3 linked regions of the Mus musculus genome follow. The protein of the gene in region 2 binds, or shares a complex with, the protein of the main gene of each other region. Links are inferred from orthologs where the notes say so. Each region holds a gene or a part of one and is shown on either strand. Other genes may lie near its edges.

Region 1 (10,019 bases), on a different chromosome or scaffold from region 2:
AATAGTCCAGGCTCCATAAATCTTCTAATGTGGACCTCAGCTAAACAATGAGTTTCAGTGCAGACCCAGCGAAGCTCACCCACAAGCTCTGCTGTGGTGACTTGAGTAATGAGCTGCCTTCTCTTCTGTGCCTACGCCACCTGCACACAGAGAGCACACTTTCTGAGCTCACTCCTCTGTGTCCTGCTGCACTCTGGGAAGTGAACAGGCTGCAACAAACACCTGTAAGATGATCTTTTCCTCCTTGCTTTATGGCCTGTCTGTCTAGCCTCTGTCTTGTACCCTGTGCAGAAATGAGGGGCTATGGATGAAGCAGCTGCACTTCTGTGGACAGAGATGCTTAGATCATGCAAAGAGTGAAGTGGCTCTGACGACGAATGAGAAGCTGATGGAGACACACCAAAGCCTTACTTTTCTCTTTGAGCTTCTTTTTAATATTTTCATCTGTACAGGAAAACCCATCAGATTGGGAGTTAGCATCTATTATAACAAAACACTATCCTACAAGTACTAGTAGTTGGTTTCCTTTTACATAAATGCTGGGACTCTAATCTCATGAACAACCCAGAACACGAAGCACTCCCACACGACTCTGAGGCTGGCAGATGCAGGAAGCAGTGCTGGAGCCTCGGGAAGAACTGCTGTGCGGTTGGCCGAGGCGCTACACCCGAGTTTCGTCCTTCTGAACCTCGCTGCTTCTTTGTGGACATTAGGCCTCAGGGTCAACCAACCATGATGTGGACTGGCTAATGTCACTCTGGTGGGTTTTCCCAAATGTTAGTTTGATACCTGGTCCTCCTGAGTACCAGGTATCAAACTAACATTTCAAGATTTTTTTCTTTTTTTAAGTTGAGTCATGGTCTCCCTGTGTCACCCAGGCTGGTGTCCAACCTATATTATTTCTGCTTCCATTTCCACGTGCTATTCACTTATGCACTCAGGTCCAATACCACTGAAACAGTGTGTCCCCTGTTCAAGGAGACAGGTCCACTGCTGACACAAGTCAGTATCAGGGTCAGACTGCCATGAGGTGTCTAAACCTCGTACTCAGACTGTGGACTCAGCTGGTCCCACGGTGACAATGAGCAGTTCATACTGGCTCTAGTCCCTGACTCTGTGTGGGCAGCACCCCAAAGACATGTCTAGTCACATGTACTCACGCAGTCCATTCTGTTCTTAAACTCTGAAAGTGAGATGGCATTATGGATTCCCTGGTACAGTGTGTGAGCAACAGATTCAACCCTAAAGCTGTGGTCTATTTCTGAACATCCTGTAATGTTATTTTACTCATGTCTAGACCCAGGGAGGAAAATCTACTTCTGTAACGCTGAGTTTTCTGATGGATAAAGAAATATGTGCAGAATGCAACTTGTTTCTATACATTACATGGCATGAGACAAAACTACACCAACTAGAATCTATCTGTCCAAATGAGTCAGAAACTGCTAGCTACATACAGACATACATACATACATACACACACACACACACGCACGCACGCACGCACACACACACACACACACACACACACACACACACACACACACACACACACACACATTCTAGGACTGCCAGACATTATACATATTATATTTCAAGATTTTTTTTTTAAATTGAGTCATGGTCTCCCTGTGTCACCCAGGCTGGTATCAACCTATATTCCTTCTGCTTCCATTTCCACGTGCTAGAGCTGCAGAGGTCAGATCCAAATGTCATTGGAGTTTAAAATGTCATTGGAGTTGTTGTTCTACTGTCCAACAGCAGATCCTCTCCTGCAGTTTACAGGATCACAATGAAACCATCGAGTACCACAGTCAGCCTTACCTCGATCGAGGACTTCGATCCCTTCTCCTTTCGCCTTACAAACCAGTCTCTCCTGCAGCCTCTTTACTTCACATTCCTTCTCCTCCAGTTGCTCTTTTAAAGATGCCAATTCGTCCTACAAATTATAAATTCATTTTAAAACAGTAGACTATGGCAGAAAAGGAATACGCATAAAGCGGTATTAGCCCTTTAAAAATCAATACTCAGACTATAGGAATGAGACAAAAACCCACAAAAACTTACACGCAAACACAAATTAGACAGAGGCAAGGATAAACACCATTAATATAAATAATTTGTAATAATTGCAGTGTAAATGTTTCAAGTTTGTGGGTAAATGTAAGAAGTTGAAGTATAACCAAGACCGAGTACTCTCTAAAGTTCTGCCTGCGCTAAATCAAAGTCTCACCAAGTTAGTTGAAGATGACCAAATTAGATACTTGTCTTAAAAGCAAAATAAAAAGCAAATTCAAAGAGGCTGGATTGGTTCCCTCAGCATTTCAAGGTGACACTCATGGTTCTGGGATCGTCCCTGGGCATCAGTAGCCACAGGGAGGCAATTCAGGGGTGACTGACCAAATCATGAAGTAGATAATTTACTCTTATCACTGAATAAGGCAGGCTCCTATGGCAATGGAAAGTGAGGATTTGAGTGTTCCTTTTGAAATGACGAAATCTGCAAGAGCGTCTGAGGCCCTGATGTATTTGTTAACATTTTAAAACTCAGCCTGGCTTTAGAAAATACTAGTTTAGCAAATTTATATTTTTCAGGCTGTATCTGTCACAGAAATTAGTTATGCAATGGCAACAGGCATCTTTTATTCAGTGTGGCATTTATTCTCAGTCTTCATTCAGCTATCTATACATTCAGTGTTATGAAAAACCCACCCAGGAGGCCAGGTTGGCCCTGTACTCCTGACTCATAGTAAAGATAGACAGGATGGAGCCAAGTCCAGAAATTTTCAGTATCCCTGAAAGAGGTGCTGCCCCCTCTCCCTGCAGGGCTTCTGAGCAGTGGCTTCTCTTCCCTGTCGTGATAAGGAACGCACACACACTGGCCTTCCGGGGACCCCTCACAGGAGAGCAGGCTCCAGTTCATACGAGACGGAATTCTTCCACAGGTGAACTTTGAACAACTATCTTATGATACTTAGGGGTCAGACAGTCTAAGCAGTAAGCTGATAAGCTGACATTTTTATGCTCTGCCCGTTTACTATTTACATTAGCACTCTTGTTGTCCCTTTAATCTGGGTGTATGCACTCTTAACAGACAGGTGACACACATACACGCAATGGATGCACATGCTACTGAAAACACTATCACAGCAGAACGACACACGCCACAAGGCGGCAGCCCGCTCCCGCCAACGTCTACTACACCTTCAGGGTCTCCCATTTTTGCTCCATCCGCTGCTTTTCATACTGCATCTGACCCACCTTGATTTTCATGCTAGAGAGTTTGGCCATTAGAGACTGGTAGAGAGACAGAGGAATGAGAGAAAACGAGGCAGAAAAGATAAGCTAAATAACTAAGAAAACAGCATCAGTTCATAAAGAAGGTCAGCTAACCCAGATGCCACAGGCTGTGTCCTGGCAGATTAGTGAAGCCTTGGGTTTACTGAGAACTCTAGCGTGTCAACTAAGCACCTCCAGCTTGGGAGAAACACGGTTTAGTTGTGAGATATGTGTGTTGCCGTGTACCAGTTGGAAAACACTTTCTTTTAAATAATATTTCTCATAGAACAATAGACCATGTTTAAAAAAAAAAAAAAACATCATTTTTCCCCAGAGAAACTTACTTTAGTTGACTTGAGCTTCTTTTCATACTGAAGTCTTTCACCGTCCATTTCATTGACTTTTAGCCTCAAATCATTGATCTCTTGAATTAGCCCCTGTAATAATAATAATAATAGTAATAATAATAATTAGAAAAGGGTATGGCACAGTCACCAAAAGAGTAGCCAGAAAGCCCTAAGCCAGCACAGCTCCTTGGATACGAGTTTGAGAACCAGTCCTAATAAAGGGAGATCCAGTGAAATTTACCCCTAACTGCCAAAGCACACTTCCACTAAAATACTAACTTAACCTTCTAGTGCTTCTGCCCTAAGTGCTTATGAAAACAAAAACGTAGCTATGACTTTGACTAGAGAAATGCTATTGTGAGAACTGTGGGCCAGGACCCCAGTGTGGGGCTGGAAGGTTTGTGGAGCCTTGAAGCAGCAGTGTCTGCAGGGAGATTCTTGACCATTAGGAGCATGCCCTCGAAAGGGATTTGGGGACCCCAGCCCCTTGCCGTCTTTTCTGCTTCCTGCCTGCACGTCATGATAATGTGCTGCTTCAACGCCATCTCAAAGCAATGAGGCCCACTATTCATGGACTATGCTCTCCAAAACCGTTGGCTAAAATAAAACTGTCTCTTTATAAGCTGTCTTGGGTATCTGTTATAGTGATGAGTCCTTGTTTTCTTCCTGTTGCTGTGATCAAACGATCTGACACAATCTGACCAAAAGCAGACTGTGTGTGTGTGTGTGTGTGTGTGTGTATGTGTGTGTGTGTGTGTTTGTGTGTGTGGTGAGGGGAGGCGGGGAGGAATTATACTTCCAGGTCACTGTCCATTACTGAGGGAAGCCAGGGCAGGAAACCAAGTCTGAGACCTGGGAGCAGGAACCAGGAACCAGATGAGTGCTGCTTGCTGGCTCCTTCACTGCCTCACTGACCTGGCTCATGTCCACCTAGCTTTTCTATATCGTGCAGAAGATGGAGGCCCCACCATAAGCTGGACCTGCCTACAGCAGTTAAGAAAGTCAAGGCAATTCCTCACACCATGTCCACCTGACAACCTGACAAAGACCAACCTGACAAAGATGAATTACTCAATTGGGACTGTTGACAGGTGGTTCTAGGCTGTGACAAATTGATGTTCCATGCTCACTGTAACATCACAGAAACACAACTAATGCAGAAGGCTGTCTAACACCAACAAAGCCACTTAGCATCTGCTTCTATATTAAAACTAACTATGGACCCCACCTTTTCATATAAACTAGAGTATTTTCTCTTCCATTAACCTTAAAATTCTTTTCTGTGATGCATTATAGTTATTTAAAGATTTCTATAATTTTTGCCTAGTCTATAAAAATATAAACTTAAGTTTCTTTAAGCCAACAATCTCAACATGAAGGTAGATGAGGGTCTAATTAATATATATATATATATATATATATATATATATAGTATATTCATATATCTAATACAATAACATAATTTTATACATGTAAAATTTTAAAAGCCTAAATGATTTTATAACAGAATATAATTGTATACCATTTCTACTGCCATTTTAAAAATGTACTTGTGAAAGTTGTTTAAATAATTTGAATTCAAGTTTAAAAAGAATTGGTTTCTCTTGCTAGCTTATCTTGCCTGCATAGAAGCCAGGAGTGGCCTTCCTTCCTTTGATCTTTCAGGCTTTGCTATTGTTAACAGGCAGCTTTGAACCCCCGGCAGGGACTGCTATAAACATTACCCCTTCCTTTAGTGCTGACTGCAAAGATGAAGGAAGAATTATAGAAAACCAAATTACATAGTGGGGCCATTTTCCTATTTTTTTTTAAAGACAAACTATCCAATTGTTTTTGGTGGCAATGGATTAAATATGAATCTGAAGTTCCAACCTGTGAGAAGCTTGATATGCCCAAGACAAGTCGGGCTGGAAAATATGGAACTACCTCTTTAATGCAAAAAGAGAAAAGGAAAGAAAATCTTTTTAAAAACCAATGTAATCTAAACTACTACACTTATCAGCTCAGGCGCTACTCAGAGCTCTGCATTTTAGCCATCTGTGCCTACACCAGAAGGGGGCGCAAATCTTCAAGGTTTAAAGATTTTAACGCACTAGGTTTTGGAAACACCTATAAATGTTCCCCACTTACTTCAACATTTTCCTGGAAACCAACATCCAAACTCTCAAAATTATGGCAGTGTTAAGCGATTCAGGATTGCAGAATAGCTAGCTAAAAGTTTTATTTTTAAGGGGACATTAAGCCAGAACATGTACATATTCTATTCTGTTTCAACGTCTGAATGCTATTTTGATTATTTTAAATATAAATGTAAAATTACCAAATATACTGTAATGTATCCTGTGAATATGTGTACACCCTTATATCAGCAGTGTAAACTATTTCATAGGATATGATCAAGGATTGTGTTTTCTAGAGGTTCTCAGGGTCCCTGGATGAGAACACAGGAGAAGACAGAAGTAGGGAGAAACAAGGCGTGACAAACACCTGCTGCAAAACCTCACAACCAGCCTCATAACCAGATTAAACTAAGCACAGTGCACCAGGTAAGTAAGACTCCGCCTCCTACAGTGTGGACAGCCTCCTCAACTCCCTTCCTATCCGCCATCCAGCCTCCTAGTTCCCATCCCTACAGCCTCCTCCCACCACCACTGAAACAATCCTCCTGCAGCCCCAGCTACTACGAAGGTTCAACAGCAACTGTTCTATTAGGGATGAGAGGGTAAGGAAAAGGGAAAAGTCTAAACAGACTCTTACAGGAAAATAAAGCCAGATGGTGGTGGCAAAAGCCTTTATCCCAGCACTCGGGAGGCAGAGGCAGGTGGATTTCTGAGTTCGAGGCCAGCCTAGTCTACAATGTGAGTTCCAGGACAGCCAGGCTACACAGGGAAACCATGTCTCAAACATCAAAGGGGGTTAAAAGCCTTAATCAGTCTGATGAAGAGACTGAGCAGTGCTCTTGCCCTAAGGAGCACAGTGAGGGCTGAGGAGGGAGGGAAGAGACAGAACGAGCATGCGAGCATGCGAGCATGCGCTACTTACCTCTGTGTCTCTGAACCGATCTTCATAATCCAGCCTGTCCTTCTCTACGGCCGTCAGTTTTAACTTCAAGTTAGAGATCTCAGCCATCAGCTCCAGCTTCTGTGTCTCTAAGGAGGTCCTACTCAGAAGCTCCTGTTAGGATTCCAGATGTTCACAAGTTTTACATTACACATTTCTGTCGTGACGGCAGAGCGGCAACGGTTAAGTGTAGCCTGTGGGTGAAGTACTGCCACACACCACACGGCTGAGGATCACTTAATCTAGTGACCTCTTCTGAACAGAACTACAACGTGTCATCAGGGTGTCGGGGAGACGCATCTGGCAGACTCCTGAGCCCAACGACAGCACTGATGGTGCTGTGCATGGTGCCTGCTATATCAGGAACTGGGAGACATGCTCATGAGTTCAGTCCCTGCAAAAGTCTCCTGAGGAAGAAGAGCTTATCAGCCTCATTTATCAGGGTTTCTAGAAACATGGAAGCCTAGATCACGAGGACAGGGAGGTCCGGAGCCTGTCAAGGCAGGCAATAGCACAGACTGATGTTCAACAGCAGCAACTCTGCATCCAAATACAGTCTCTGCGGCATCACAGGCTTTTCATCCACAAGCCCCATGTACGCACTGGGACGCATATATATATATGAGGTTTTGCCTTAACAAGCCACATATGGTGATTTTTCATCTCACGGTTGAGAGTTAGAAATAATATGAGCGCAAAAGATCAACTTATAATTCCTGTAATATTGTGTTCTCTCATAACTGCACAGTGTTGTGTGTCTCTGTGGTTTTAGACTCTGCTACTCTAGACTTCAAACAAAACAGTCTAGGGATTCTGGAATTTACTGCTGCTGAGACAAGACAGGAATGTTGCACCTCAGATAACACAATCCAGCATCCCCTCCCCCACCAGCTTTGGCCCATACCTGCTGCAGCATTTCTTCAGTGGCATTCAGCTTCTCTCTGTGCTCTTCAAGACAGAACTCCAAATCCCGAATCTTCTCTCCCTGAGCCTCCACCTGGTCTGTCAACACACTTACCTATTAAATCAAAGCAAGAGGCTATGAGTTTGAAAGGCTCTGGGCCCCAAAGCATGGCTCATTCTCTAACTGGAATGAGGACTAAGATCCATCACTCACGGTGGTTTAAAACATCACAAACTTAACAAGAGGACAGTGGTCCTACCCTTTGCTATTTATATTTCGCTTTGTGTGGATCAAGCCCAAGACTTGTGCATGCTAGGATAGGCAGGCTCTCTACCACCGGGCAGCCTCTGCAGCCCTATGCTGCCTTATGATCCAAGGATTCCTATTCAATTTAGGAGAAACATGGTGCTGATGAGAGATTTGCAGTTTCTTTACGCATTAAAACCATTTCAGTTGTCATTAGGAAAATCTGATGTTGAAGGCGATGGTAAGAGACTACTAGTCGGGAGCCACAGAGGAAGTGAGGAAACAGGCACAAAGGACCACGCAGATTTCACGGATCAATAATAAAAAGGAGCAAAGGTGAATAAAGACCTCAAATTCTACAAGCTCTTCCAAGATGAACATGGTCACAAGTGCGTTCAAAGCAAGGGCAAAGGAAGAGTGCTGTGGTGCACTTAGCATGAGTTCAGGTCCCAACACCAAAGAGGAAAAGGAAAAAGCCAGGGTACTGCACCACATGCCCAGGAAACAAACAGTGAAGCCCATCCCTCATCCCCAGGGTTCCATGCAGATCTACAAGTCTTCCCCCTGGGATACCAGCTGAATAAATACTCTTTGATCCACATCGTTCGAAACATAAAGATAAAGGCATTTTCTCTGTACTTAGGAACACCATGAGGAAGCAAGCAAAAGCAAGTACCGCATAGTACTCCCCAACAGCAGGCTCCACTCGGCTACTCTGTACGGTTTGTGTGTCATTTTAAAAGATGGAAAGTTAATATATATTCAGACAAGAGATTTTTATACTACGGGAATTCACAGATCTGGATTTCCAGTTGAAATGTATATAAAATCAGATCTGACAGCAGGGGACATACAAAATCATCTCAAGTGGCAAAATCATCTCAAGTCTGACCTGCTCCTGAGAACTGGGTGACAAAGCTGGCCACAGCCAGCCCTGCGCACTCCAGGTACAGAGAGCTGACCTAGCACCCCCTTCTTGTTTGTAAGATAGGACCTGAGAGGGCTGGTGAGATGGCTCAGTGGGTAAGAGCACCCGACTGCTCTTCCGAAGGTCTGGAGTTCAAATCCCAGCAACCACATGGTGGCTCCCAACCATCTGTAACGAGATCTGACTCCCTCTTCTGGAGTGTCTGAAGACAGCTACAGTGTACTTACATATAATTAATAAATAAATAAATCTTTAAAAAAAAAAAAGATAGGATCTGGGGTTATATCCCAGGTTGGTCTCAAATTCATGGCAAATCTCCTGCCCCAGCCTTCTAAGTCCTGGGATTACAGTCACTGACACCACAGCTGCCTTCTTCTGCACTGGCTGTTTCCTTCAGTGGCTGGCTGGGCTGCTGTACAAATTGTTTCATTTTCAGTAGTCTGTGAAAGTACAGTCTTCCCTTGGCATCTGTCTGTGGCTGGTTCGAGAATCCCTGCAGATATCAGTGTGCATGCTCAAGTCCCTTCATGGAACAGCAGTATGTTCACATACAGCTCACACATCTTCCTTATACTCTCAGCCACAGGTTTTCCAGTACAATGTAAATGCACATAAGCAGTTGTTATATTGCTTAGATGACATGTTTACTACAGGTGCTTAATACAGGTGTTGCACATATATGTGATTCAAAGTTGCAAGGACACATGTCCTGAGAAAGGAATGGCCTCAAGTACCACTTGCCTGAAGAACGAGGGATTCCTTGTCGTTTTCTAGACGTGCCAACCTTTCTTGATACACATCTCCATTCCCAGGTAGATGTCCATTTGTCTGAATGAGAAAGTAACATAAGTAAGGTCAACTCTCTCTTAGGATTGATATGTTATCAATCAGTAAAACTGATATTTTAAACTCAAGGGGCCTGGATTAAATTTAGCACAGCAGGCATGGATGGAAAATGTAAGAATTAACTGACTTCAAAATAAGCATTACAGGCACCTAAACACAACTCACTAGACTTACCCCATTTCTGAGTAAACAGAAAACAAGTACCCTGTCTTGGTTCTAAATGTACCACTGTGGTGACTACTGACCAAAAACAACTTGAGAGGGAAAGGGTTTATTTTACCTTATAGTCCACCATGAAGGGAAGTCAGAGCAAGAACTGAAGCAGAGGCCTTAGAGGAGCACTGCTTACTGGCTTGCTCCTCATGGCCCTGCTAAGCCACCTTCTTATACAACCCAAGACTGCCTGCCC
Region 2 (10,019 bases):
CAAGCAAATAAACCTTTTAAAGTAATTTCAAAAGAATGAAAATACTTAGCCGGGCAGTGGTGGCGCACGCCTTTAATCCCAGCGCTTGGGAGGCAGAGACAGGTGGATTTCTGAGTTCAAGGTCAGTCTGGTCTAAAAAGTGAGTTCCAGGACAGCTAAGGCTATACAGAGAAACCCTGTCTCAAAAAAACAAAAAAGCAAAAAAAAAAAAAAAAAAAAAACAACAAAAAAAGAAATGAAATTACTTAAAAACTGTGTGACTATCTTGAAAGACTAATGTCATCTGAGAGATCTGAGAAAAGCGACAACCTTTCTTCAAGTTGGTGAGAGAAATAATCCAAGCAGCTGTGACTCTTGGATCCTGACACCAAGGATAGCAGCATTCACCTGACAGGGTTTTGGGGACTGGTGTGGAATAAAGGTCTTGAGCTAGACAGAAACCGCATTCCCATCATCCATGGATGCAAGCACACTAACAAGAACATCAAGCCTGCCTGTGAGCCCACATGGCCCAGGCGCACCTTGGAGAGTGCAGCCACCCTCTGGGCCAGCTCAGCCTCCACCTCTGGCAGCGTCTCAGCTTTGCGCAGGGTCTGCTGCAGCTTCTGCTCGGCCAACTCCAGACGCTCTTGCAACTGGCGGTTCTTGTCTTCTGTCTAGAAAGGGCACAATCAGGAGTTCAGGCTGCTGCTTTAGACACCTGACAAAGCACCTTATGGCTTCAAGGCTTTATCTTCTTAAACACAAAGAAAACAAAACAAATATAGGTTCCTATACATAAAGAAAAACTAGTTACTCTTGTGAGTTGCTCATTCTACAGAAAATGAGTCACTCTCCACCCAGAGTGCTGCCTGAAAGCCTAGCCTGTGGCAAACTGTTATAAAAATACTTGGATAAGAAATCTACTGCAGAAAATCTAAGTAAAGCAGGAAAGAACCTGTGCATGTGGGGAGTGAGACCACGGGGGCTACTGTCTGTGGACACGGTCCCCTTGCTCTGTGTGAACTCAACAAACATTAGGCCTCACCCTAGTTCCTGATTCTAAGCACTGCTTCATGGCAACAATTTTCATTTATTTTTGGTCAAGCAATGCCCTTTGCCCTTAATAAATCCTTTCAAGCAGCCTGACTAGGTTTTTTTGGTTAGTTCAATAACCTGAGAGCACACAAGGAAGAGGGTGATGGCTGGCTCCTATCACCTCTGACTTCTAGTGCTGTTGGGTGCACAGTTCAGCAACTGCCAGCAAGTTCTTACTGCTTAGTTAGTGAAAAGACTGAAAGAAGCAACTGGCTTCCAATGAAACAGAACAAAGGGGAGACAGTTCTGCGAGCAGAGTGCCTGTTGTGCAAGCATGAGAACCCGTGTTCAGTCCCTAGTACTGACATTTTTTTAACAGGGCTTGGTGCAGCAGCACATGCTTTTAGCCCGAGCACTGTGGAGGCAGACCCAGCAGGAACCTTGGCACTCACTGCCCTGCCAGTGTAGACAACGTGTGAGCTCAACATTCAGTAAGAGACCCCGTCTTTAAACATTACAGTGGAGAGGCTAGAAAAAGAGTTCTGTGGCTAAGAGCATTTGCTGCTCTTCCAGAGGACTCAAATTTGATTTCAAGCATCCACATTCACTGGTTTACAACCACCTGTATGTAACTCCAGCTCCGGGGGATACCATACATTCTTCTGAATTCCAAAGGCACCTGCACTCACACAAAGATGTACCCATATAAAATATACAAGATTAAAAATAAAAAAAATTTTTTTAAATCTTAAAAATATATTTAAAAAAAATCTTAAAAGTACAACTGAAAATAAAATAAAATAAAATAGGGCGGAAAGCAATAGAGAAAAGACCCCTGACTTTGACCTCTGACTGCCACATGCACACACCTACACATACAGGTGCAAATGTGCAAGCATACACCAACACATACAGGCACAGGCACACATTAATGCTCATAACAAAAAAAAAAAAAAAAAAAAAAAAGGAACAGAAGAATCAAGGTTCTATAAACTGCTAAGAAGTAAGTCATAAGAAAAATGACTTAAGTACTTGATTTCCAACATACAATTTACAAAGGAAAGGTCTTCGGCTTCACAAATAATTAAAACTAGAAAGGGGCCCACAGACCCCAGTACCTGTCGGTGCATGGAGTCTTTATTTGCAATTTCATTTTCAAGTTTGTCATTGAGGTCATGCACAGACGTGGCTTCACGCTGTGCGGCGAGGTAGCGTTTCTCAAGGGTGGTGATTCTCTCTTCCATATCCTCCTTCTGGGCCATTGCCTGTGTTGGAGATTCCAGAGGGAGACGGAGATGATAAACGCAGAACTCATCAGAACACTCAGGAAACAGAGAGACACCACACATCTCAAGCATGAAACTGCTGCTCCCCCAGTGTAAACTGCTTTTACAACCAGAGTGAAAATGGACACACTTGAAGCATATTCGCCCACATGATCAACAGCTTTGTCTGGTTAATCTGCTCGTGTCACCAAGCATGTACTTGACTACACAATACTAATAAAACGCCCCATACAACACTTCAAGCATCCATGAATCTGAAGGCATCTGCAGTGAAGGTGTAACCTGTGTCTGCCTAAGCAACAACCAGGCTTATAGAGCACTGTGGGCAGAACTGCTTCATTTTCTCAGTAAGAGCTGGACAGACTCACAAACCTCAAGCATGTTGACAAAGAGACAGAAATCAGCAAGGCCAAAACTATAAACCCCAAACACTGAGCCCAGGACTTGACTTTTGGCATAGTTGGTATCTGTCTTCTATTCCCCAATTCAGTTTTTAGCTTCTTCCTTATTTCCTAACTGTTGGCTATCTATAAATAAATTTTATTGTATGTGCATTGAAATAATGTTTTGCCTGTATGTATGTCTGTGTAAGGGTGTCAGATCCCCTGGAACTGTAGTTAAATTACAGATAGTTGTGAACTGCTATGTGGGTGCTGGGAATTAGACCCAAGTCATCTGGATGAGCAGCCATTGCTTTTAACCACTAAGCCATCCCTCTAATCCCCTTACTATATTTCTTAAAGAGGCAAGTCTTAAAAGAACATCTCAACTCTCTACCACAGAAATAATTCCCTGTGGCCCAAGAACAGCACAACCTAGTTGATTCTCTAATTCATGCAGTGTTTCCTTTGACCTGAATTCTTACAATAAATCACATTAATCTCCAAAACTAACGCTCCCTGGTCTCACATGCTATTAGGTGGGGTCTCCTGGGGTAACAAAAGACAGGTTCAGATGGAACAGAAAGAGTTTACAAGAAAGCATGCAGCTCTCATTTCTTTTCTAGTGACCAAAGAGGGTCTTGTAATTTACCAAGGAAAACTGGTTATGAGGTGTATATATAAACAAACATTTCCATAGAGACCCTGATGGGCAGAGTGAACCACCTCAGTACTCAGCACCATACCATACAAATGACAGAGGACAGCTGGTCTACCTCTTCTTGCCCCTACAAAAGCACAACTGACATCATGTCTGTGGGCTCTGGGAGCAAGTGAGAAGAAACCGAACACAAGAAAGAGTGCACTACTGCAGCCATGGTAGCATATGATCCTCATGTGAAGGGTGCAGGAGAGAGGGTGTCTGGTGTGTATGCCAAAGGTTCCAGACTATGAGAGCAAAAGATAGAGGGAGCAGGAAGCCAGGCGCACCCCGCACTCACTTCACGGACTTCTCGCTGCAGTTTCGTATTCATCTCTTCAGACTTGATGAGGTCTTTTCTAGCTGTGTCCAGATCCTCTTCTAGTTCTGCTGCATGACTGGACAGGGAGGCCAGGCGCTCCTTCATCTGGCTCTGCTCTCTCGCCTGCCTGTCTATGACTTCCTGCAGCTCCAGCACTTTGGCAAGATCCTCATGACTCAAGGAGCCATCAGAAGATCTCTGAAAAGCACAGCCCTATGGCACCATTGGGCACACCACCCGGGAAGCACAGACCTTCAGAGGGAGGAACCTGTGTGTTCCTCAGTGGACACACACCTTAGTTGCCACTATTCCCCAACAGCCCTACATGGCAAAACAAAACCAGAGACCACACAGGAAAAAAAGCCAAGGACTTGCCTTGCCGTTGGTGCTTGGTGCACTTTCCTGTTCATGGTTTCCGTCAAGCAGTCCATCTGTTAGTGTTTTCTTCTGATTATTCTGTTCTTTAAGAATCATTAGCTACAAAAGAAAAATTGAACTCACTAGCGTGAGATCTTTACGTAAGAGAAATGAGCAAAGGTGGCCAGTGGCTTTGGGAGACAAGTGGCTCTAACAGCTGTGCAGTCAAAGGCTCTGAGCAGAGCTCTAGAAACCATTTGTCATCTGCAGAGAGAGAGAGGTACTTGGGAGAGGCTGAGGGCTGAGACAGAATCCAGTGACCCCAGCAGGTTGATCTACACCTAGGAAAATAAGTAACTTGCAGTGTCTATTACTGTCTTATACTTGTAAAGTTAAGTAACAAGTATCAATCCCTTTAGTTCCAATCCCACGACAGAACCCAAGCTTACCTCTTTGTGGGTGGCACCCAGCTCCTCTTCTAACAAGCTGCACCTCTCCAGAGCCACTCGTAGTCGCTCTCGTACCTGCAAGTGAAGGGCTGAGTGTGCACTTGGATTCCTACTGTATGCCCAAGGCAACACAGCATTAGCAGAATACAGCAGACTGGTACTATACCGCCACTTTTGAACCAGGCTGACTGGAACCTGGGAACCCTGCTGCCCCAGTCTCCTAAGTGCAGGGATTACAGGTGTGTATGTTTTTAATTTGACAAAATCTTGTTCCTAAATAAGTCAGACCACTAATTATTTTCTTTTTCAGGAGGGGAGGAAAAAGTTGAGATATAAACTTGCCACATAGTCCAGGCTGGCCTACTACTAATCTATGTGGCCAAGCAAGCTTCAACCTCTCAGCAAGCTTCCTTGCCTCTCAGGGGCTAGGGTTATAGGCTTTAGGAATCACACTAGACCCAAATTCTTATTAGCACATTGATATAAAAATGTTAAAACATTCGAGTCAAAGATGCTTATCAGCCAGCCCATAGGCCAGTACCCTCTAACTGAGAAAAGCTTTACATAGGAGCTCCAGAAGTTACAAGCATGATCACAGTGCCATGCAGCCCCCTGACAGGGCATACAGGTGTCGGTATGGTGATTGTACCTTCTCATCCAAGGCTTTGTGGTGTTCAAACAGTGACTTCAGGGCTTTCAGCACTTCCACCTCACTGGACACGCCTGCAGGTGACTGTGCCTGCCTCTTTACCACTGTCATCCGGAGAGAGCGCTCATGCCTGGAGACAAGGCACTCTAGGTGCTCCAACAGCAGCTGCAACAGAGCCCAGCAGGCGGTAAAGTGCTCGCTTCATAGGTAAGCACTATATCCACCCACAGCAAGGGAATATAAAGTCAACACAGCACGAGCAAAGAAGCCCCCTAGGCTGAATTAAAAATGGGTTGATGACCCCTTGAAAAGTGGGAAAGGCACAAGTGACTGACCCTAGTGTTGTTCCTCTCTGCCTTCAGCTCGGCGATTTCTTCCTCTCTCTCTAGAAGCTGCTCCCTGCACACATTGAGTTCCTTCGTGAGCGCAGCAAACTCCTAGAGAGTGACAAGCACAAGAATGATTGAATGAATTCATGTGCAAACAGAAATCTGAGAAAAGACTCCAAGAGCCTCCATTAGAATACATTGTAAAGTGTCTCTGATTCTCCAAAGAAAAGGGGACTTGGAAGGTGTCTTCAGGCTTCCCTAGTAACCCAGACCTTTCATCCAGCCCTGCAACCGTCCCTCTCCTATGTCCCAGGCATGGCCAGTAGGCATGGTGCCATCCAAGGCTACATCTTCAGCAACTTCAGAAGATCAGGAATAGAGTAGGTAAAGACACTGTTAGCAACTTGAACATTTAGCACCCCTGGAGACAGCAAAGGAAAAACCTACAAGGTGCCTGGTGCAGGCACTCAGGAGGCAGAAACAAGTGGATGTCTGTGAGTTCGAGGGAAGCATGGTCTACAGAGTGAGTTCCAGGACAGCCAGGACTACACAGAGAAACCCTGTCTCAAAACAAAACAAAACAAAACAACCCTACAGCCTGGCCTGGTCTAACCTCTTCTCTCTGGGACATTTCAGGGTTAGTCTTCTAGGCAGAAAGTATGCCCAAAGGCAAACCTTAAAAATTGATTTTTCACAAGACCAAAACCTTTTGAAGAGATAAGGAGAGCTCTGGGAGCTGACCATTCCACAGTGCTGCCCCAGGGTACTTCTCACACTGTCTACTAAGTGTTCAGGACACCAGGAACAAGCTGAGTATAAGCCATGTATTTACTGGTTTCTCAATGAACCCAAACCCTTGGAAATAACTGCTCAGAAATAATCTACCTGCTGTTTCTCTGAACTTTTGAAAGGAAGGCTAGTGGTCCACCTGATACAAAGCCAATCAGACATTCAAAGTATAAAAAGTGGTAGGCAATTTTACTTTTAAAACGCAAGCACAGGTCTTTGATCCAGGCAGGTGGATCCTGAGTTCAAGAGCAGTCTAGTCTACAGAGCAAGCTTCAGGAAACAGGGCTTCCCTGCTTTAAAACAAAATAAAAATTTAAAACAAACAAAAAACAGGCCATGTGTTCAACTCCCACCCACAAAAAACTGCTGCCACTCAGCCAACTGACTACCAGTCACCCACTCCAGCTTCATCATGCTGGCCCAGCAACGTTGCCTATGCTCCAAGGCTGTAGGTGAAGACAGCCAACAGTTGGAAGAGCTCTCTCTAGGGAGCAGCTTGAGTGAGAGAGAGGACACAGCTGAGAGCCAGTAGTGGCCATTAGATTCCCTGGAACAGGAGTTACAAACAAGTTGTCAGTTGTCTTATGGGTGCTAGTTAGTGAACTTGGGTCCTCTAATAAGCACAGCAAGTACTCTTAACTGCTGAGCTAACTCTCCAGACCCAGTTTATAGTGGATGAAAAAGAACAGCAGGCACCAAGGCTATGTATGTGCAGGTTGAGACTGTGTAGTCACCACTCAAGGTGACACACCGAGCAATTCTGCAAGCCCAGGCTATTAACTGATATTGCCATATTTAACACACATCATAATCACTGAGAGTTCTGGTTATTCATTTAAAATCTAACTCTGGGAACATGAGAGAACACTCAGCAATTATTTGGCAGCTGATAACCATCCATAATTCTATCTGATGCCTTCTTCTGACCTTCCTGGGCATCAGGACATACACAGATTACATACGTACCTGTAGGGAAAACACTCATACACATAATGATTAACCCCTCCCAAATAAATCTGAGCAAAATAAATCTGCATTTCCATTTGACATTATCAGGGTTCATTAAGAAACTAATATTAACCCCTAAAAATAGTTCACAAATGTGGTCCACCATGCTTGGCTTGACCCCTTCCACACTTATGTGATGTTCCGTACCTCATACTCTGTCAGCACCATCAATGGCACCTTTTAGTGTTTAAATTTTATTTTGTTGTTGCACTAAAAACATCCAATAATTATTCCGGATAGGTAGTCCCATATACCAAGTCAGGGACCACCTGAGGATACTGTGCTGCTGAAATAAGCCAGACACAGTAGCCGAAACACTGTGGGAAATATGAGCGTCCTCATCTGAATCATGAAATTAAAAATCAAAACAAAACCCCAAACTGCGGGGTAGGGGGAACTTCACCAAAAGCAAAAAATAAAAAAAATTTTAAAAAGTCTATTTCTTGTCATTTTAGGACAGAAAGAGAGAGAGAGAGAGAGAGAGAGAGAGAGAGAGAGAGAGAGAGAAAGAAAGGAAGAAAGGAAGAGGAACAGTAAAAGCCAGCACAAAAGCCAACTCACACAACTAAGGCCACTTGCAGTCACAGCAGCTCCCTACCTTAGATCTAAAATGAAGGGAGCAATGTGGGTGGGGCAGTACCTTTTCACACCAGCACTCACCTCTCTGCCCACTGTCCACACTAACAAACTATGGGAGAAAAGGGCTGAAGGGACAATATTGCCCATGATTCCCAACCTCTTGAGACCCACCCAGAGCTCATGACCGCAGAAGCAACTGCTTGTCAGTAGCTAAACCTTATCTATTAGTAGCAGGTTAAAACACAAACATTAGGCACAGCACTGCACTACTGTGATCCCAGCCCTTGGGAGGCAAAAGCAGGGAGGATCACCATCTTGAGACCAGCCTGGGCTATGGAGAGGAACTTTCTCAAGAGATATAAACAACCCCCGCACATATGTAGCACATGTGCAGCTTGATCTCCATGTGGGTCCCAAACAACTGGAGCGGGAGCTATCCCTAAAGTTGCTGCCTGTCTGTGGAATCTATTCCCCTACCTTGGCTGTTTTGTCTGGCCTTGGTGGGAGAAGCACCTAGCCCTGCAGAGACCTGATGTGCCAGGTTAGGATGTCTTACAGGAAGGCTGGCTTTGTTAAAAGCAAATGGACATCTCTTCTTTACACAGATCAACTACAGAAAAATACATTTGAACTGTTATTGCTTTGATCCACTGTAGCCAGTGAAGGCGCTAAAAGTGACCATTTATATCTCTCCATAAGGATAGATTGTTGAGCATTAAAACTAGGAAAAAGGGGGCCAGCAAGATGGCTCGTGGGTAAAGGCACTTGCTGCACAAGCCCAACAGTCTGTGGAAGGATAGAACTGACTCCTGAAAGTTGTCCTCTGACTTCCACACGTGTGCCACCAGACATACATGCATATATACACATTCGTGTGTATGTATATACACATACATGAATAATTATAAAGTAAAATCTTCTATAAAAAAAAAGAAAAGGAAAGGAAAGGAAAGGAAAGGAAAGGAAAGGAAAGAAAAGAAAAAAAAAGAAAAGAAAAGAAAAGAAAAGAAAAGAAAAGAAAAGAAAAGAAAAGAAAAATGAAAATTGTCCCTTTGTGAGCAAGGTGGAAGCTCAGTTACATGGCAGTAGGGACTGGCCACTTGGGACTAACTTGCTCTGGGATGACCCACACTCCTCCCTGGCCTGCAAGCCCCACTCCTGTCCTCACCATCTGTGCAGCCTGGCTAACCCCACTTCCTCCCCAGAAGAGTTCAGGCCAACACAGCGTCCACTGAGGGTAGGAGCTAGCTTCCATCCCCTCCTGATCTGGCCTGCAAGAGAACAAGGGCTGCCAAAAGCCATCCATGCACCTCATTTCCTGCTTTGCCACTTTAGAATATAGGTGACCCTGGGGCGTACCTGCCTGTCCTATCTCCTGCCCTATGCCTGTCTCTATCTTAACTAGTGCCAGTGAGAAACTCTGCATATCTGTGCCTGTCTCTATTTGGATATCTCGTAAGGCTCCATATACTCTCACACTGGAATGATCACTTTTTCCTGCCCTGCCTCCAGCTCCTAAGCCAGTGAACACCAGGACCCAGCCACACAGTCCTGATGCACAGACAGCATGTCACCTCCTTCCACTCACTATATCACCTGCCACACTGGGGACTCCTATGACTGACTGCATCTCCCACGCATCTCTTCTAGAGCCATCTACTTCCCATATCCCCTATCACGCCACCACGTCTGCTTGTTCCACTACAGAGCTGCCTAGTTCCCTGGGTCCCCCTTCTTCCTTCTTTCAAATCTGTCTTCTGTTTTTCTGAAACAAACAAAAACCTGAGACTCTTTTACTTAGATTCTTTCACAAAGGCCCTGTGGCATAAGGTCAACACCAAAGCTCCTTTGTACTGGTAAGAAGCAATAACACCTGACAAAAGCCTATTCTGGCATCTGGGTAACAGAAAACTAGCAGGGTATGAGGTTATGATTGGGGTCGTGTTGATGGCAGTTGATTCACCACCCCCACTAACAACAGTGGGTCATTTACTGGGTCAGCACTACTGATAAAACAAAACCTAACTAGTGCCCTGTGAAAAACTCTGAACTCTTTTTTCTTTTTTTTTTGGTTTTTTTCGAGACAGGGTTTCTCTGTGTAGTCCTGGCTGTCCTGGAACTCACTCTGTAGACCAGGCTGGCCTCAAACTCAGA
Region 3 (10,019 bases), on a different chromosome or scaffold from region 2:
TATTCTTACAAGTAAACCATGTCAGATACTTATGCAACTTTATTTGATTCACTGAATTATTTTCCAACTATCCCACTACATTCCAAGTAAATAAATGTAACTCTACAAGAAGAAATGTCTCATATTCAATTATATATTTCTATTCATGCAAAGGCCTAATAAATAAAATTAAAACCCTAGGTTAGAGGTATAGTTTAGTGGTAGAGCATTTGTTTATCAGGTATAAAACCTTAGGTTCAATCTTCAGCACCTCAACAGAAAAGAGAAGCAGCCAATTCCAAAAAGAATAAATATTCTAAGCAAAAAGAAAACATCAGAGCTAGTGAGATGGTTCAAGAGGCAAAAGAATTTATCTCCGGAGCCTGAGGGTGATCCTCAGGACACACCATGGAAGCAAACCTGTTCCCAAAAGCTATCATCTGACCTCCACACACGCACCACAGCACAGGCACATCCAAACACACACACACAAATACAATCTAACCACCAAAAAGAAAAAGAAAAAAATTAAAGGCAGTTCACTTGCCATCCTACAATATCAAACAGAATATTCTATTCAAACAAAATTTTAGTGAAAGAGCATTAAAATAATTATTTACTGTGTGTATATCTGTATACGTTCATGTGTATACATGAATGTACAGCTTTGTGAACATGCAAATATGCACGCTTATAGCTGTGTGTTCATGTAGAAGCTAAATCTTGATGTCAGATGACTTCCAGATTCATTCTTCATCTCTGTTTACACCTAGGACTTGAGGATGCCACAAGACTAGCTGGCCAGCAGCTGCAGGGATGGGTCCTCCTGTCTCCTTGTGGGCTAGAATCACAGGTGCATATCACCATGCCCAGCTGTTACATAGGGATCAAACTCAGGTCCTCACTTGCATTTTAACAACTGAGCCATCTCCTCAGCCATAAAATAATTATCCTTAAAATAAGCATACAACTAAATCCAACACAGAGAATTCTTACAACACATAATCAAAAAAAAAAAAAAAAAGTACAAAGGACTGGAGTGACAGCTCAGCAGTTAAGCACATGGCTGCTCTCCTCTTCTAGAGGTCCTTAGTTCAATTCCCAACAACAATGTCATAGCTTACAACTATGTCTAATGGGAGCTGATGCCCTCTTCTGATATGCAGGCTTACATGCAGAAAAGCACTCATATACATAAACAAACAAATCTTTTTTTTAAGTACAATAGCTGATGAAAATAAAATCTAAAATGTAACTTCTCCAAAAGTTTCACTAGCTCTGCAACAATACAAAGCCCATAGGAAGATTTTCATTCTTCTCTAAAAAGCTAACACTAAAGTCTTTCTAGTCACAACTTTTTTTAGAAGAAAAGGATTTCTCTGCTCAAATATATATATTTATATTCACACATACATAAATAGACACACACACACAACTCTTAATCAACAACTATTTGAAAGTAAAGTAACAAAAGGAGTCTAAGACATAGAAACACCTGAGAAATTTTATCTTAGACACAAGCTTCTAAGAGAGCCATAATAATGAGTCATGCCCACCAAGCAATCAGCAATCCTAAGCAAATATGTTCTATACTGATAGGATTCTGGACCCAGCTCAATCAGATCAAACATTTAAAATGGACCAAAATCCCCAGGCTCAAACAGAAATACAGAAATGTATTTAATTGCTATAAATTCTAATAAACCAGTCTTCTTCACAAATGAAAGATGTCTGACCTCTGGGAGCTAAGAAGAGGATAATGAATGCACTATTTAATTAGGGGCCCACTGCTAGCTGACTATAATCTATTAATTAGCATTCTCAGTGTCTGTATCTCACTGTACTGTCTTTAAAATTGCACCCTTTGTTTTTTGGACTAAAGTTACACAATTTTAGAATTCTGTGGTAATTACAGTGGGTGCAAGAAGAATGTATCTGCCAGCACTGGCGTTTAATTAGGGCATGGGGTGGACCCAGATAAAGCAGTATTCACCATCTTCAGCACATAATGGTTTCCTTGGCAAGAAAAACCTGTGGACTGTTCCTTTCCCAGAAAATACTAAGTGCCCATAATTGTCTTCTCAGAAAATTAAATATTTTGCCTTTGAATATACCCTGGTAACTAGAAAAGGGATACTGAAATGATTTCTCTCCTGATCCCCATACACCCTTAAAGTATACACATTAAGAAATGCTTTATTTATTTCAAAGTCAAAAAATATGCCAATAACTTTTTTCCTCAATAAACATTTCCAGGTCACTTGACAATAAAACTACCTTATTGGTGGCTATGTTTTCAGCAAGACACGTTGATGATTAGGTAATTCAATAGTGTATTTGGTAAAACCAGATCTGCTTTTAATTTATGTACTGAGTAATCAAGTCAGACTGAGAGACAATGAATCTACTCTTGAAAGGACCAGTTTGAGCTGGTGGTCAGGCAAGCTAACATAAATCTAAGCACTTGGGGATGGAAGCAGAAGCGTTCCAGACCAGCCCACACCACACAGTGAAGCAAGAGAGAAGTGCTGAATTGACTTTAAATTGTTTTTAAAAATATGAACCTTTTACTTACTTTGGTATGCCAATGAATACTTTTTATTGAGGTGACTTAGAAAAATATGGGAGAGGGGAGCCAAACACAGTGACCCACTCCTTTAATCCCAGCACTCAGGAGGCAGGGGCAGGAAGATCTCTGTGAGTTCTAGGCCAGCCTGGTCTACAGAGTGAGTTCCAGGACAGCCCGGTGTTACTCAGAGAACTGTGTCTCAAAAACCAAAACAAGCAAGCAAACCAACAAAATATCCTGCTCTTATGGGACTAGAGAGATGGCTCAGCTCAGCAGTTAAGAACACTAGTTGTTCTTCCAGAGGACCCAGGTTCAAATCCCAGCACCCACACAGCAGCTCACAATTGTCTGTAACTCCAGTTCCAGAGGATCTGACACCCTCAAACCGACATACACAGAGACAAAACCTAACACCAATATAAATAAAATAAAGGCTATGACTGAGGGGCTACTTACAGAGGCAGAGGTGACTCAAATGCAACTGTATCATTAAGAAGCCCTTTGATTTTTTGTTTTTGTTGTTTTTCAAGAGATGATTTCTCTGTGTACCCCTGGTTGCCTTAGCACTCTCTCTAGACCAGGCTGGCCTTAGGCTCACAGAGATCTGCCTGCCTCTGTCTCCTGAGTGCTAGGATTAAAGGAGTGTGCCACCACCACCACCACTATCTCCCGGCCAAAAGGCCATTCCAATACAGGTGATGACAATCTGAAGGCAAGACAGGTCCAAGAATCTCCTGCTACAGGCTAGGAAAATGCTCTTTCATTGAACTGTATCTGCAGTCCTGTGTTTGATTGTTTCTAATTTTGAGACAAAGCTTCAATATGTAACCTCAGGTTAGCCCTGAATTCACTATGTAGCCAAAGCAGTCCTCAAGCTCTTTTTCTTTTTTTTCTTTTTGAGACAGGGTTTCTCTATGTAGCCTTGGCTGTCCTGAAACTTGTTCTGTAGACCAGGCTGTCCTCCAAGTCATAAAGATCCACCTGCCCCTGCCTCCTGAGTGCTGGAATCAAAGGTGGGCACCACCACTGTCCAGCTCAAGTTGGGTTTTTGTTGTTGTCGTCACTGCTTTGTGATTTTTTTTTTTTTAATTTATATGTGTGAGTGTTTTGCACCATGTACAGGAACAAGTCTTAAAAAGGCTAAGAAAGTAGAAACAGAGTTCTAAAGTAAAAAGGATAAATAAAAAAAATAAAAGAACAAAGATGGGGGAAATCTAAGACGGGATGGAAAAGGAATGCCTCTTTTTGTTTATATACATGGACTCAGCCCATAAAGATAAATGTATAAATGAAACTAACCTGGTTTTCCTCCTGTACAACTCGGTACTGCTCCTTCCAAATGGTGATTTTGGAAGCTTCATCTTTTCTCAAGGCCCGCTCTTTCTTTAACTCTGGGCTCCAGAAGGTCTTGATACTATTCATTGATGAACTTAATTTGCTCTCCTTTACTTCCACATCTTTCCTCAAAAGATCGTTTTCTCTTAATACTTCCTTCAGCTGTGTCTGCAGATCCATGATGGTGTTATCTCTTGCCTGACGAAGAGAGTGAGGTACAGTAGATGCCATACTAACAGGAGGGAGGTGATGTTCTCCAAATGCTATGGTATCACTAGCAACCCCACTGCTTGCTATGTTGGGGCTACTGCCCATAGCAGTCATCCTAACACCGTAAGGCAAGCGTCCCCCAGAACGGCCAAGTGTCATGGTGCTTTTAGGTGTTTCTGCACCCACGTTTTCATGGTCACTTAGGTACATAGGGCCAGATGTAGCATAGGCAGCATTTAAGGACTGTATATTCTCCATTGAAAGGGTTTTCCCACTGCCACCTCCAACACTGTTTCCAGAACTCCCTCCTGTACTATTTGTTCGCCGATGACCTAAGCGAGGGGACCGAGGAAGCCGAGGTGATCGCCCAGGACTCTGGCTGCTTGGTTCCACCTTCCCTACTGATCGAGCACTTCCATACATGGTTGCAGGGTGAACTTAGGTGCCAGAAATGGTATGAAGAAAAAAACAACAATGTGATTCTGTGAGGTTTCTCTATGGCTATAAAGTCAGCTTACAGCTAACAGAAGTAGCAGGCCAGCAGCTGTCCAATCTTGAAGAAATATCTTATGCCATATCTGCAATGAAAAGATCATACATTAAATATTCCAATGATAAATACTTTTCTCAGAGGTGTTCTGTTACCTTTATCTGGGGAAGAGTCACTTTTCATTAAGTATTCTCATGGCTTTAAAATTAGATTACTCATAATGTACTGTTTTTCTAATTAAAAATTAGAGTATCAACTGATAATTACCAAGTGAAACATTTGAATAACAGAACTCAGAACATTACATAAGATCAGTGCAGAAATATCAATACTTGAATACATTATCAGAATCAATAAAAAAAACTTAATGCATTAGTCAGAGAGAAGCTCAATATATAAATATTAATACTTTGACACATCATTAGAACTAATAACAGCTAAATTTCCATAAGATCAATATTTAAATATCAATACTTTCATGCACATTGGGAATAACAATTAGAAAATGTAGCTCTTAAGGTTAAGGTTAGGGAGATGGATCAGTGTGTAAAGTACTTGCCATGCAAGGATGAGAACACTTGGTCACTTCCCCAGAAATGAGGTAGAACTGAAGGCGATAGCATGCATCTGAAATCCCAGTGCTCCTATGGTGAGATGGGAGGCGGAGAAGGGAAAATTCCCAGAAGCTCATGGGCCAGCTAAAGAACAAAAGACTCCATTTCAACCAAGGTGAAGGCCAGGATCAACACCTGAGGCTGACCCCTGCCAACAGTCAAACACATATCATACAGAGAGAGAAGAGTGAGGGGGAGGAGAAGAAATGTAGCTCTGGGTTCGAGCCCCAACACTACATTAATGGATGTTGCAGCACATACATGGCAATAATTGCAGCAGAAGAGGTAAAGGCCATCTTCATCTACAGCTGAGTTTCACATACACAAGACCCTGATCAAAAAATAAGTTAAGTCCTGCTAACAACAACAAACCTATAAAAGGTACCTAAAACCTAACAAAAATGTTCAAGCATTTAAATCTCTACTAAAATACATAAAATCATACCTCAATAATGAAAAAAAAAGTTAAAAGTTACCCATACTGTGAAGGTATCAGCTCTTCTCCCAGTTCATTCACAAAATCCCAGTAGATTTTCATGTAATTTAAAAATGCTGATTCTAAAATTCAAATGGAGGACTAGAAGTACAATAGCCAGCTCCAGAGGAATCAGACACCACTGAACCTCTGCGCACCCGCATTCATGTGCACATAACCCATAACACATAATTAGAATAATAAAAATAAATCTTAAAAAAAAAATAGAACATGCTCTTAGCCACTGAGCCATCTCTCCAGCCCTTCCCCTTTTTTAAAACTAATTTGGCAGGGAAACCTCTCCTTGATATCAGGTTACCGAGTGCTTTTATGTGTAACACTGAGCATACGTATCAAGTATTTCATCAATAAAATAATGTACATCAACACCGGATACTGTACAATACCCAATAATGTTCTAAGTAAAATTCTGGGAAACAAAGTCCCATCAGATCATCATATTCTCATAAAGAACTACAGACTTTATTATAAAAGCAGACATGAGACATGTTTATAATCCTAGCTACAGGGAGTCTGAGGCAGATAAGGCCAGCTTGAGCTACGTCTCAAAATATAAGATGAAATAAAATAAACAAAACAAATAAACCAGACAGACAGGGTTGTATCTGCTTGTAACCCCAAGCATTGGGGAAGATGAAGCAAGAGGTTATCAAGTTCAAGGCCAATGTGAGCTTTTACAAATTCCAAACCAAGCTGATGTGTCGCCAGCAAAACTGTCTCAAAAAGAAAGAACTGGAAAAAAGTACAGAGTGCTGGCTCCGCTCTTGGCTGCCCACCAGAACTTAAACTTAATGGTAAGATTTGATTTCTGAGGACACTACACACATTGGTCACAGAACATAAATAGTTGGTAAAGACCAGGAAGCGTCCTCTCCGACACCTACTTCTATAGCTATGCAGGCTACTGGAGAGAAAATGAAAGTCACCAACAATATTCCCAAGCTGAGAACAGCAAAAAAGGGGCTGGCATCGATGTTATGGAAGTAACCACTTTCTGGTTGGATTTAAGGACTGTTCCACGGGAAGAAGAACATGCCTGGTATTGCAAATCTAGCCAATTAACCCATGGTTGGAAAGTTCATAGGCCCCAGGAGTGAACTGACTGATTATTTTGCTAAACAGACATAATACCACACTGCCCTCCAAATTTTATCTCTGCATCTGTAGAGTGCTGCCACTCTTTAGTTTCTTTGTGCGCTGAATGATGGTTAACACAGAAACTCACTACTGGTGAGAGAAGTGCAGAGAATTAGTGGCTGTGGAGTACTCAGCCTAAATGGGACAGACATACTGTATATCCTGGCCTCCCCAAGGCTCAGGGATCATCACGGAAAAGTATTCAGAGACATTGTAAGAACCAAAGGTCAGGGAAAACCCAGAGCAAAGACTGTCTTCTCATGAGAGGACCACTACACTAAGGAACTCACAGCAGCTGTGTTTGCCTGCACAAGATCAAGCCAGTCCACAGTCTAGCACTGAGTGAAGGGGGTTAAAAGCCTACACACTCCTTTAACTGAAGAGCTACGAACAGCTGACAGCTTCTGGGGTAGGGAGAGTCAGTTTTCTTTCTGAGTATGGTTCCCTTTAGTTAACCACGTTTCAGTGGGTGGTTCAACATCCAGAAGAATATGAACAGCACAAACTAACCAATGGGTAACTGAACAAAAAAAGACATAAAGTTGGAAGGATACCAGGGTAGGGATGGACTGGCTCTCAAAACTCCATAACTGGAATTTCTTATACAAAAAGGCTTTGCATATAGACTACACATATCCACCATTATACTCTAAGCCTTTTTTAGACCACTAATAATACCTACCTCAGAGTAAGCTATATATAAATAATTGTGATGCTTAAAGTAAGTCATCTGGGCAGTGGTGGCATGCCTTTAACTGCAGCACTAGGGAGGCAGAGGCAGGCAGATCTCTGAGTTTGAGGCCAGTCTGGTCTACAAAGCAAGTTCCTGGACAGCCAGGGCTACAGAGAAACCCTGTCTTGAAAAACAAACAAACAAACAAACAGAAAGTGATTAAGCAAGAACAGTTTGCACATGTTCAATACATATCATATACATGGAAAAAATGTGACCTTTTTGGGTGAAAGGTTAAAGAGGAACAGCAAAGGGTGTCAAACTCTTTTGCTAAGCTGTTTCATAACACTTCAAATTCCACTTTGCATATTTATTATCTAATCTCAATGAGTTCTCAAAATAGAACAACAAAATTGAAGTCAAGCCTGGCCACCTTCATACCACCACAAAGCTTCTAGACCATAAAAAACACAAAATGTCAACACTGGCCACACACCGCAGATACACTTAATCAAAATCCTGGGGTGTACCCAAATGTCTACATGTACATCTGTACACAGAGATTGCACGGACCCTTTAATTCTCACTCTTCTTACAAAAGCTGTAAGCATACCATGGAACTAAATAAAATGCTTTAAGAGTAACATAGTAACTTACCTTAATTATAACAGAATAGGCTCACATAAATGTGCTATGAGACATTTATAAGAAGATGCAAAAGATGTAATTACTACCATTAGCTATTTAAAGCACTGCTAGTAAAATTCTGGCCTAAATCTCAAAATCACTAGACTAACCTTCTGTACTAGTTATACTCATCTGTAATAATCACTTATTATCTGAAAATGAGTTAAGTATCTTAAATTTTAAATTATATTCCAAATTTTTTGTAAGACTGTTTTCTTGAAAAGCTATGAAATTTCTAGGGTCACAAATATTCATTTTAAGCTCTCTGAAAAATGATTTAAAAATCATACTGAAGTACAATTTAGCAGAATCACAATTTGAAATGAGCTACCACTTGAAAAAGAAGTTTCCTCTTCTAATTTTTTTTATATATAGTAGTGGAGACTGAACCCAGGGCTTTGCACAAGGTAAGAAAGGGTTACCACTGAGCTACACTTCCAACTCAGAAGATTTTTTTTTTCGCTTGTGTTCTGAGACAGGATCTCTGTACTCTGTCATGCAGCTGAGGACGACCTTAAAGTCCTGATGCTCCTCTCCCACTTTCCGCGTGCTGGGAGCACAAGCATGCAGAATCAAACCCAAGATTTACAAGTTTCACTTTTTAAACCATTCTGCATGTTTCATAGGTTCTAAGGTCAATGTACAATGATGTTCATTACTGCATCATTTGTACCAGCAAGAATGTAAATTTTCAGCAAGAGATTGGTTTAAGTAAATTATGTTATCTGCAAACTCTAAATATACTTATCTTTACCTGACATACAAAGTGTGGATAACCATAGTCTATTGCTGTAAAACAGAAAAGTAAGTTGTGAAAGAATGCATATAATACAATCAGTATTACACAACATGCATATATTCATATACACACAGGAATGACTCCAACCCTCAGATCACAAGTAGCCAAGGCTAGCTAAGATAAAAGTGTCATGAAAAACTGTAACTTACTTAAAACATTAAGAGAACTTTTTGTGATTTTTGCATGTATGTAATGTCTGCATTATACAGATGCATATTGGGTATGAATGTATTTGTTAGAAGCCATAGGCTAATGTAAGTTATCTTCCTTGGTTACTCTCTACTTTACATGTTTTGTGCACTGTGTACTCAGATGCTGATTTCTCTGCCCAGATATCTGGGTGCAGTTCAGATGATAGCATGATCAAGCATCTCCAGTCTCTATGTTACATAAAAATTGTTTTTCATCACCTCTGATTGTTTAATAGCTCTACAGCTGATCACCCCATTAGCTGGGCAGAAGAGATAGGCAGAACTTCTGATCTCAGTCAAGGGGTCCCAAAGGAACGGGGGCTGGGGGTACGGGGAGGTGGAGAAGGACCAGGAGGAGAAGCAAGTGTGGAGAAACCCTGTGAAGAAACCAGGAGGATTCACCATGAGATCACGAGGAGAAAGCTGCCATGGAGACAGACACACAGGGACCAGAGCAAACTGGGGCAAGACCAGATGGCAAGGAAATTTGGCTGGGTAGTAGCAGCCTAGTCAGGTTAGAATAGATCAGAATCTGTCCCGCTATTAGTGCTTGCAGCTTGTTAATAAAAAATACCTGGTCTCTATATCTTTATTCAGGAGCTAACAGGCATAGAAACGCCCTGTAATTAATCAGGTACAAGACAGGGCAAAGAACTCCACCTCCCCCCAAGAATTACATTTACACTGAGATACTGAGGCAGGATCTCTCACTTGAACGCAGAGCTCACTGGTTAGGCTAATCTAGGTAAGCAGCCTGTCTACAGATCGTCTGCCTCTGTCTCCAGAGTTCTGGGATTATAGACAGGTGGATACTAAGAATCCAAATCTAATTCTCATAT

Evidence for each region.
Region 1: Ppfia1 (region 2) and Ppfibp1 share a complex: the UniProt entries of both Homo sapiens proteins name them as parts of the cortical microtubule stabilization complex. The link is inferred for Mus musculus from reciprocal best matches to the Homo sapiens genes PPFIA1 and PPFIBP1.
Region 3: Ppfia1 (region 2) and Erc1 share a complex: the UniProt entries of both Homo sapiens proteins name them as parts of the cortical microtubule stabilization complex. The link is inferred for Mus musculus from reciprocal best matches to the Homo sapiens genes PPFIA1 and ERC1.

What each region holds. Positions count from the first base shown.
Region 1 is NC_000072.6:146,990,087-147,000,105, reverse strand, and holds part of Ppfibp1 (liprin-beta-1), read right to left. Parts: intron 9,593-10,019; coding exon 9,506-9,592; intron 7,705-9,505; coding exon 7,591-7,704; intron 6,801-7,590; coding exon 6,669-6,800; intron 3,717-6,668; coding exon 3,624-3,716; intron 3,298-3,623; coding exon 3,205-3,297; intron 1,940-3,204; coding exon 1,825-1,939; intron 445-1,824; coding exon 412-444; intron 1-411. UniProt on the Homo sapiens protein: May regulate the disassembly of focal adhesions. Did not bind receptor-like tyrosine phosphatases type 2A.
Region 2 is NC_000073.6:144,515,465-144,525,483, forward strand, and holds part of Ppfia1 (liprin-alpha-1), read right to left. Parts: intron 5,598-10,019; coding exon 5,496-5,597; intron 5,326-5,495; coding exon 5,161-5,325; intron 4,587-5,160; coding exon 4,512-4,586; intron 4,183-4,511; coding exon 4,081-4,182; intron 3,904-4,080; coding exon 3,685-3,903; intron 2,283-3,684; coding exon 2,136-2,282; intron 657-2,135; coding exon 522-656; intron 1-521. UniProt on the Homo sapiens protein: May regulate the disassembly of focal adhesions. May localize receptor-like tyrosine phosphatases type 2A at specific sites on the plasma membrane, possibly regulating their interaction with the extracellular environment and their association with substrates.
Region 3 is NC_000072.6:119,820,539-119,830,557, forward strand, and holds part of Erc1 (ELKS/Rab6-interacting/CAST family member 1), read right to left. Parts: intron 5,282-10,019; 5' UTR 5,143-5,281; intron 4,672-5,142; 5' UTR 4,517-4,671; coding exon 3,848-4,516; intron 1-3,847. UniProt on the Homo sapiens protein: Regulatory subunit of the IKK complex. Probably recruits IkappaBalpha/NFKBIA to the complex. May be involved in the organization of the cytomatrix at the nerve terminals active zone (CAZ) which regulates neurotransmitter release.